Schizosaccharomyces pombe: one gene and its partner. The protein of the gene in region 1 interacts with the protein of each later gene in a pairwise test. Each region holds a gene or a part of one and is shown on either strand. Other genes may lie near its edges.

Region 1 (3,299 bases):
CAGAATTGGCCTCTATATGTACTATGACTTACGGTTTATTCTAGCAACACATTGTAACCCTACGGGAATGGAACTTCCGTAAAACACGGTACATTCTAACCCTTCTTCTTTGGATAAGAAGATGTAAAGTTATTAGAAGGTTGCAATAATATAAAATAAAGTTTCAAAGAGTTTTATGTAGCTTAACTCATCTCATATGATTATATTTGACAATATTATAGTTTTTCTTGTAAGGTCCATAAGATAGAACATTCATTTCATCCTTATAACAAATCAAAAATAAGTCCCAAGTTACGACACATCCCAAGGTTAGTTATTTACCCAAAGGAGAATTGTATGATAGTTGCTTTAAAGGCGTACATTTAAATAATATTCATAAGAAGCGTGACAATCCGAATTTTTTTCCCGTAACACTTCGGATTCTTATATATAAAGGAGAGGATCCAGAAAATCTTGGAACATAAAATAAGGAATAACATTTTAAAATCAATTTGACAAAAAGAAAAAGTAAAAAGGGTTCAATTCAACGCTCTTTTATACCTCTAATTTAACAAACGTCTCAGGAACAAGCCCGCTTCTTCCTGAGGCATCATCGTATGCAATCAACCAACCATCGCTGGATTCCGACAAAATACAAAGTCTCTGACCAGTAGTAAAACCGAGTTCATTATCATGGAGGGGCTCGAAATCATAAAGCGCAACGGCGTCAGCAAGGACGTTGAAAGAAGCAGAAGGGTGAGTGCTTTCAGATTCTTCAGCATCGTAAAATACTTCCGTATCATCTATTGATTCGGAGTCATCCGATCCTTCGATTGTTTCATCAAAGGTATCATCTACAAATCGCTCCTCCTCCTCTTCAATCACACGAGCATGAAACCCATAGTGCAGTTCATGATCTGGGGGGTACAAGTAATCACGACCCACAACTAAATAATCCTCTTCAGTCTCTTCCGCCATGAAGCAAAAATTGCTAGTGTCACATATAACGATTTAAATTAATCAAAAGAAATCATACGGATCAACGACAGCGTTAAATTTACACTATACTTAGCAAGTCCATAAAAAAACAGGTGTATTGGCGAAAAGTCAACAGATGAACAAATGCTCTCTTCAACGTTGAGTTTTTGTCTTCAAATGACTTTTGAAAAGGAAAAAAAGAAAACAAAACAAATAAAAACAAAAATAAAAGAACCAAAAAGAATGATAAAAAAAATCAAAGCGGAAAATAAAAAAAACGCGGTATTGACGGATAATGACAATTCTGCCTAAGAAATTTAGTTTTTCTCTAATCGGCTGCCTGCATATGATTATATGAATGTAGTTTTAACAGATTTGTACTTGTTAAAATGAAATTTCCATAAGGAAGAGTTTTCGCGTGACTGGGAAACGGATGGCTTGATATCACAAATTCCGGCTTAGCAGTCAATACCGCAAGAAGGCAAGTTAAATCCGTAAATAAACAATTTTGACAAAGAGCTGCCAGTTAATTGTAAAACATACGATGTAAAAACCTTTATTGTTGTATAAAAATAGTTCTTACCTTTGCGACCTGCTTTTCTTTATAACAGGAGCATAAGGTGCGCAATAAAAAACCCATTAATTTATAATCCCATTAAACTTTTAATAACTATTCACATAATGGTAAACTTTTTGCACTGAGATCCACCATATAGTAATTCATCGCCAATAGACCTGAGCAAAAAATATTGCACAAGAACAAAACATGATGTCAAATAACACTAAAGCATTCCCTAGGTAAAAGTATCGAAACAGATAATCGTAATGAAATGCCCTTAGTTACTTTAGTAAAACTGTCAAGAGATCATAAAACTGAACCAAACCAGAGGGCATAACTTTACGTGCCATCCTTTACCAATTCGTAAATCAAAAATTGATTATGTAGGTGCTTGCTAAATAGTTTGTACAGTCATTTGAGAGAGGAAAAAATTATAAGGAATAGAAGAATCCACACAACGTTCCATTTGGAACTCTCATCATTATCATTCAAGCCGCATAGAAAAATAGTCAAATCAATTGTGAAACATTGACAAAAGATCAGATTTGCTAGAACATATGTTTTTAAGAATAACCACGTAGAGCTATCGAAGATAATATAGAGGCCAAAGGATTCTCAAGCGTAGAGGGATCCAATTTGTAATTCTTTTTTAACACCTTGAAGTCTATTAATTTTTGTAACTCTTCGTCAGAAAATTCGACCCTATTACCTTCCACAAGTTTGTCCAAGCGCTCAAATTCTTCTTCTTCTGTAAGTTTGCTATCAATTTTTACCACTACAATGTTTTTAGATTTTTTTGTCATGCTGAATTGTCGGAACGCACTAGAAATTTCGGTTTTTGGGGACAATGACAAAATAACCTCTGAGTGAATCGTCTTAGTTTTCATTTGTTCGTCCCTTCTATCTTCGAGAGCCCTAATAATAGCGCTATAAACCTGCTTTTTATATAGAATAGTAGCGGCATCGAGAAACGCATAGTCATAAATGGGATTCTGGCTTATTAGTTGTTCATGAATCGCAGCACAGTTAGAAACATTTTCATATACAAAAACATGAACTTGTGTCTCTGGAAAAAGAGGTAAAATCATTTTGCCCGCCTGTTCTATAGCAATATCAAACTGCAATCCTTGTTAGCGTTTTTACATTTCTTAGGTAATAATCGTACTAATAACTTTTTGCCGGTAAACATCGGTAAAATACGGTGACTAAAACTCCGAACACTCCAGCTACTGACTTAGCGCCCAACTAAATTGTATAGTGAATTTGCTTTTTTTTTACTCAATTCATTATGGAGGGTATGCTATAAATAATTTTTTTTTTGAAAATATTAAGTTAACCGATATGTCAGAGACGGCGATTCGATCGCGCTTAACTGTGGAAGAACGGCCTTTGAAACGGTTGATTAGTCGGTGTCTTGGTTTTGCTGCTCAAAATGTAGACGAAGCAAACTTAAGGGATTTAGAAATTGAATTTTCTGCTCTCTCTGCTTTTTGGCTTCGATTGCAAATGCAATTAGACATGAATGCTAAAGAAGTGGATGTTTACGAAGGAGAACTGAAGAAGACTCGTATGTGATTAAATTCGTAACTTTAAGTACAGTGATGTTTTTATTAATATTTTCAGAAACATTTTGTGAAGCAGAAAAAACCGAAATAAGCCAGCTTGAGCAAGATTTACTAGTTGCCCAAGAAGAATTAAGAAAGCGTGAACAATACGACGAGTTGGCCAAGCCAATAATGTCAAAAGGATTGAGATCAAGAACAGAACAACAAGAGTAAGTTTC
Region 2 (4,424 bases), 1.1 Mb from region 1:
AGTACTGCAGGATCGGCTTCTTTGTTTCCTAACCAGCAAATGGGAATTGACTTGCAAGCACAAGAAAACTACAGTGCTGCGTTCGGTAATGATGGCAGCTTTGCTTCGCATTTAACTAATACGTTTGACAACGCTCTAAATCTTCCTACAGACATTCCAACCACTGAAAGCATAAATGACTTGTTTGGTGAGAACTTTGACTTCACCATGACAAAATGAGTTGAGTTGACTTCAGTTCAGCTATGTATGATCGGTTTAACGTGGTTGTTTCAATTTGTCAATGTTTTTTTCATGTATTATTATCTATTACTATAGTCATTCATTTCCAGATCATTCAACAAAAAACCTATAAACGGTAATTATAAAAAACAATTGCATGTCTTTATCCGGTGAGTATCATTTGATTGTATTGCTCTGCACCTTTATGTATGAAAACTAGAGTTGAGACAGTAAGTAGAAAAGCGTTGTCTTTTTCCTATGTTTAGGCCAATGCTAAAATCTCGAATACTTGGTACAATTAGTGTATGTATATATATTTTTACGTGCAAATGGTATTTTAGCAGGAACGGGACAAAATAAAGACAACCCGTAACTTCAGAATAATAATTATAATTCGACTTTTAAATCGAAAATTAAAGACGATAAAAGGGTAAAATAAATTTTTTTTGGTGAACGTATAGCCTTTGTTATAAACACCAATGCATGCACGCAAGTACATTCATAATATTTGCGAAGCAATTGTAAATAAAAATACCGAAAACACTCACGAAGAACCTTAAAAAGAGTGAAATGTTTGTACCTTTAAATGGGTATGAAGAGGGCTAATGATGAATATACGATTGATTCGAACAGTGGCACGCAGATTGGAGGAAAAGGTAGCAAATCATGAAAAAAGAAAAAAGAAACTAGATTTGGACAGATTTAGGATCGATATTTAGACACATTACTTTTAGACAAAAAAGAAGAACAAGAGAAACATGCACAAAGTGGTTTATAAAAAGAAGAGTAATTAATTAGAAAAAATAAGTCGACCCAAAGGAAAACCATGTCCAAATGAGAATACAAGGTCCATAAATAAAGGAAAAGAATCGATGCAATTACAGTGCTTGGTAAACAAAAAAATAGGATTAAGTCATTCCGGCTTCCAAACAAGTACTGTGGATGAGGTAAAGACATCGAAAAACCGTTACGAAACAACAGAAAGCACATCATTGAATCCATCAAATACCTAATAATAGTCATTACTGTATGAATCATTATCAGCGGTAAGTCCTGAATCATCGAGATCACCGGGATTGCGAGTCAAGTTAACTACAATACAAGTGATATTGTCTGTACTAAGACGTTTTAATGCAAATTCTACCAGGCGAACAGCGGCTTCGCGAGGGCTTACGAAATTGCGAACAAAGTCGACAGCTTCCTGATCCGATACTACATCCCACAAGCCATCACAAGCGATAATGAAGAACTCATCATGACCGTTCCAGATTCGGGTTTCAGTGGTGAAGGGATGCGCACTGACCAATTCCTTAAGATAGGTATCACCTAAGGCCCTTGTGACAGCAAGAACGCCATTAATTCGGTTTTGTACCATGAGACCACCCAACTGGGTCACACGACGAGACTCATTGGCATCGGATCCCTTGTGATCGTAAGAAAGTCGAATAGCCTTACCATCACGGCATAATACGATACGTGCATCACCTGCATTAGCTGTGTAGAGAACACGGCGGGTGCGGTTTTTCTCATATCTAAAGAAAGCAACTGCAGCGGTACAACCGCAAATGTCATTGTGAGTAGCCTTTGCAATTTTGCTGTTGACCTCGACAAATGTTTCGTCCATTAGGTCTGTGACCAGCCGGTCCGGCTCATTCCTAACCTTTTCCAAAAGTACCTTGTGAAGATTCTTCTGACAGTAGTCAGATGCTTGAATGCCAGCATGTCCGTCATAAACGGCAACGAAGCCGTCGTCCTGATTACCCCCAAAATCATACAAGCAAATATGAGTATCCTCCATAGACCTACGCCATCTTTGGTTTTTATCCTCCATCAGTCCAGCAAGCCAGTTAGAGGCTTTACTAGGGCGCGAGTTACCAACTGGGACTGTGTTGCCTTTACTATCCTTCATCTCAATTGCAATCGGTCGAGTTTCTCCATCCGCCGAATGATCACTAGCGTTTTTTCGATGTCCACTTGTAGAATTTTCAGAAAATGGGTTCAACTTGTGAAGTGGTTCCAACAGGGAACCTGCATTTGGATGGCTTCCCTTCATATTCGTTCAAACACTTCAGTACCGACAAAAAAATTGCTTTTCAAATTAACTAAATACCTTCAATTATAATATCAGGTATAAAATTGCTGATTGTATAGTATATACGAGAAACACCGATTTTCCTTGGGTTTCTGCGTAAGTATAAACTTGTTAAGTCAGTCAGTGCTAATAAACTCGGGCATTTACGTCACGCGTGGTATACCGAGATCTTCGGAAATCATTTTTACGTACTAGGTTAACTTCCACTAAACCGTTATCCGCTCTGCATTGAACTACATTATAATACAAAAATGCTAACAAAAGGCTATTAGAAAATTAGAAATAGTAAGCAGCAATAAGCTGTTGTTTTGAATATATGAACTAAACGTTTGATTTATTCTAGACAAAAATATTGAACCATGTATTGAAATCCTTCGACTTTTACACTTGCTTTCGCGTGACTTTGGTTCGCATTACTGAAAAAAATTTGTCATGTGTTCGTCTAGTGAATTTGCTAAATATCAATTATCCGGTCTACCCATAATAATCAATTAGAAACGTTTCGCAACATAAACATGCTAACAAGAATAACAGTGTTCATATAAATAATTAAAAGTAACTTTTTCCGTATGTAAAATAAGGATGTGGCTTTGTCCATATCGGCTTTCATAATACAATTAATGAAATTATAATTTGTTTGTATAAGCAAAACAGACAGAACTATCACGAAGTATCCAAAATTTCCATAAACCGAGCCTCAAAGATGAAGTCGAAGAACATTTGAGAAGATTAAAAGAAATAGTGTCCAACTTCTATTTTGCGACAAGATTTATAGAATGCTTGTCGCATGCTCTTGGCTATGCCGCCAACAATAAGCAACGACTTGAAATATTTTAATAATCAAGGGGGAGGTAATAACGGCTCATGGTATGAAAGAAAATAAAATAAATTGCTTTAGAAATAAAAAGAACGAAGGACGGATTTGAGGGGACATGCCTTGGGAGTTCTTACGCAGTAAGGACTTTAACAGCAACAATCATTTTTTTGCGGTTAAGAAAACGAATTAAGGATGTCATTATCAAAATAAAAATCATAAAAAAGCAAGAAGACTCGAATAATGAAAGATGTCAATTTTGATCACACATGACTTCTTGATAAAACAAAAAATTAAAGAACAAGGGTAATGTGTGAAGCAAAGGTACGCCTTTATCGCTCTTTCAACAAGTGTTTTCAACGGATAAATGCCTGTCAGCAGGGACCATGGGCGGACTACTTGGCATCACCAAATCTGTCATCAGAGGAATATCGCGTCTTTCTTCATTATCGAGTTGAGAATTCAACCCCAATTCTAAAGAAAAATCATATCTTTCTGGTAATTGAGGTGAATTCTCAATGTTATTGGATTTTGCAACCGAAGACAATGCCTTTGATAAATCAAACTTTGGCTTATGCCTTGGTGTCAATACGTTTTGGTCAGGGTCAGACAAAAATAACTCTGACCTCCAGGGTGATGGACTTTGTTGTTGCTTTTGTAAGGTAGTTGGTTTTGGAGGGGTTCTGAAATAGCACTCTAAATCATCATTTTCTTTTTCTGAATCGCAAACAGGCAGAGTTGGCTCTGTCTCTTCTTTATTTACTTTAGGCATAGGCTTTGTTGTGGTTTTCAAAGGAAAAGCGACGTTTTCCTTGTCAGTACACATGAAATCAGTTTTTCTTAAAACATCATTTTGTATATTGGCACTTAGTGAATTTGGTAATACCAGCCAACTATCATTAGACCCAATTTCGGATAAAGGCTCACGAAATGATGTATCAGGAGTAGGTGCAACAATGGGAGATGATTGTATGCGTCTGAGGTCATTTTTCAGCTTAGCAGTACGGGGACCTCCTCTGGATTTCTGCTGATTAACAACAGAGGGTTTTGAGATATGATTGGGATCAGGTGCAGAGTGTGTTGAGTCTAAAGACGTAAGTCTATTCAGAGGAGAGTGCCGTCCTGCATTTTCAAGCTCACGGAAGATGGATATAGATAGTTTTCGTTGCTGGGAAAGTTTATATACGGCTAACTCAAGCTGAGCAAATGCATCATTTTCCAACGGTTTCTCTGTTTCAAATGCTTTATAGGTAGACCATAAATTTCTTGGACGCATCGAGCGCCGACTCGTCCAATATA

What was found. Proteins that work in one complex are often made in the same cells at the same time.
Region 2: the proteins of skb5 (region 1) and ptc1 interact in a two-hybrid assay, tested with the Schizosaccharomyces pombe proteins (3 studies listed by BioGRID).

The regions. Positions count from the first base shown.
Region 1 is NC_003421.2:920,727-924,025, reverse strand, and holds skb5 (Shk1 kinase-binding protein 5), read right to left. Parts: upstream 1,393-3,299; 5' UTR 958-1,392; coding exon 535-957; downstream 1-534. Other genes in the region: EKC/KEOPS complex subunit Cgi121, read right to left, coding at 2,080-2,604; THO complex subunit Tho7, read left to right, coding at 2,805-2,811, 2,865-3,083, 3,140-3,290.
Region 2 is NC_003421.2:2,002,527-2,006,950, reverse strand, and holds ptc1 (serine/threonine protein phosphatase PP2C catalytic subunit Ptc1), read right to left. Parts: upstream 2,416-4,424; 5' UTR 2,273-2,415; coding exon 1,229-2,272; 3' UTR 559-1,228; downstream 1-558. Other genes in the region: SPOM_SPCC4F11.03C (uncharacterized protein), read left to right, coding at 1-219; GATA-type transcription factor Ams2, read right to left, coding at 3,469-4,424. UniProt on the Schizosaccharomyces pombe protein: Serine and threonine phosphatase. Has a specialized role in the heat shock response. May be responsible for the dephosphorylation of hsp90.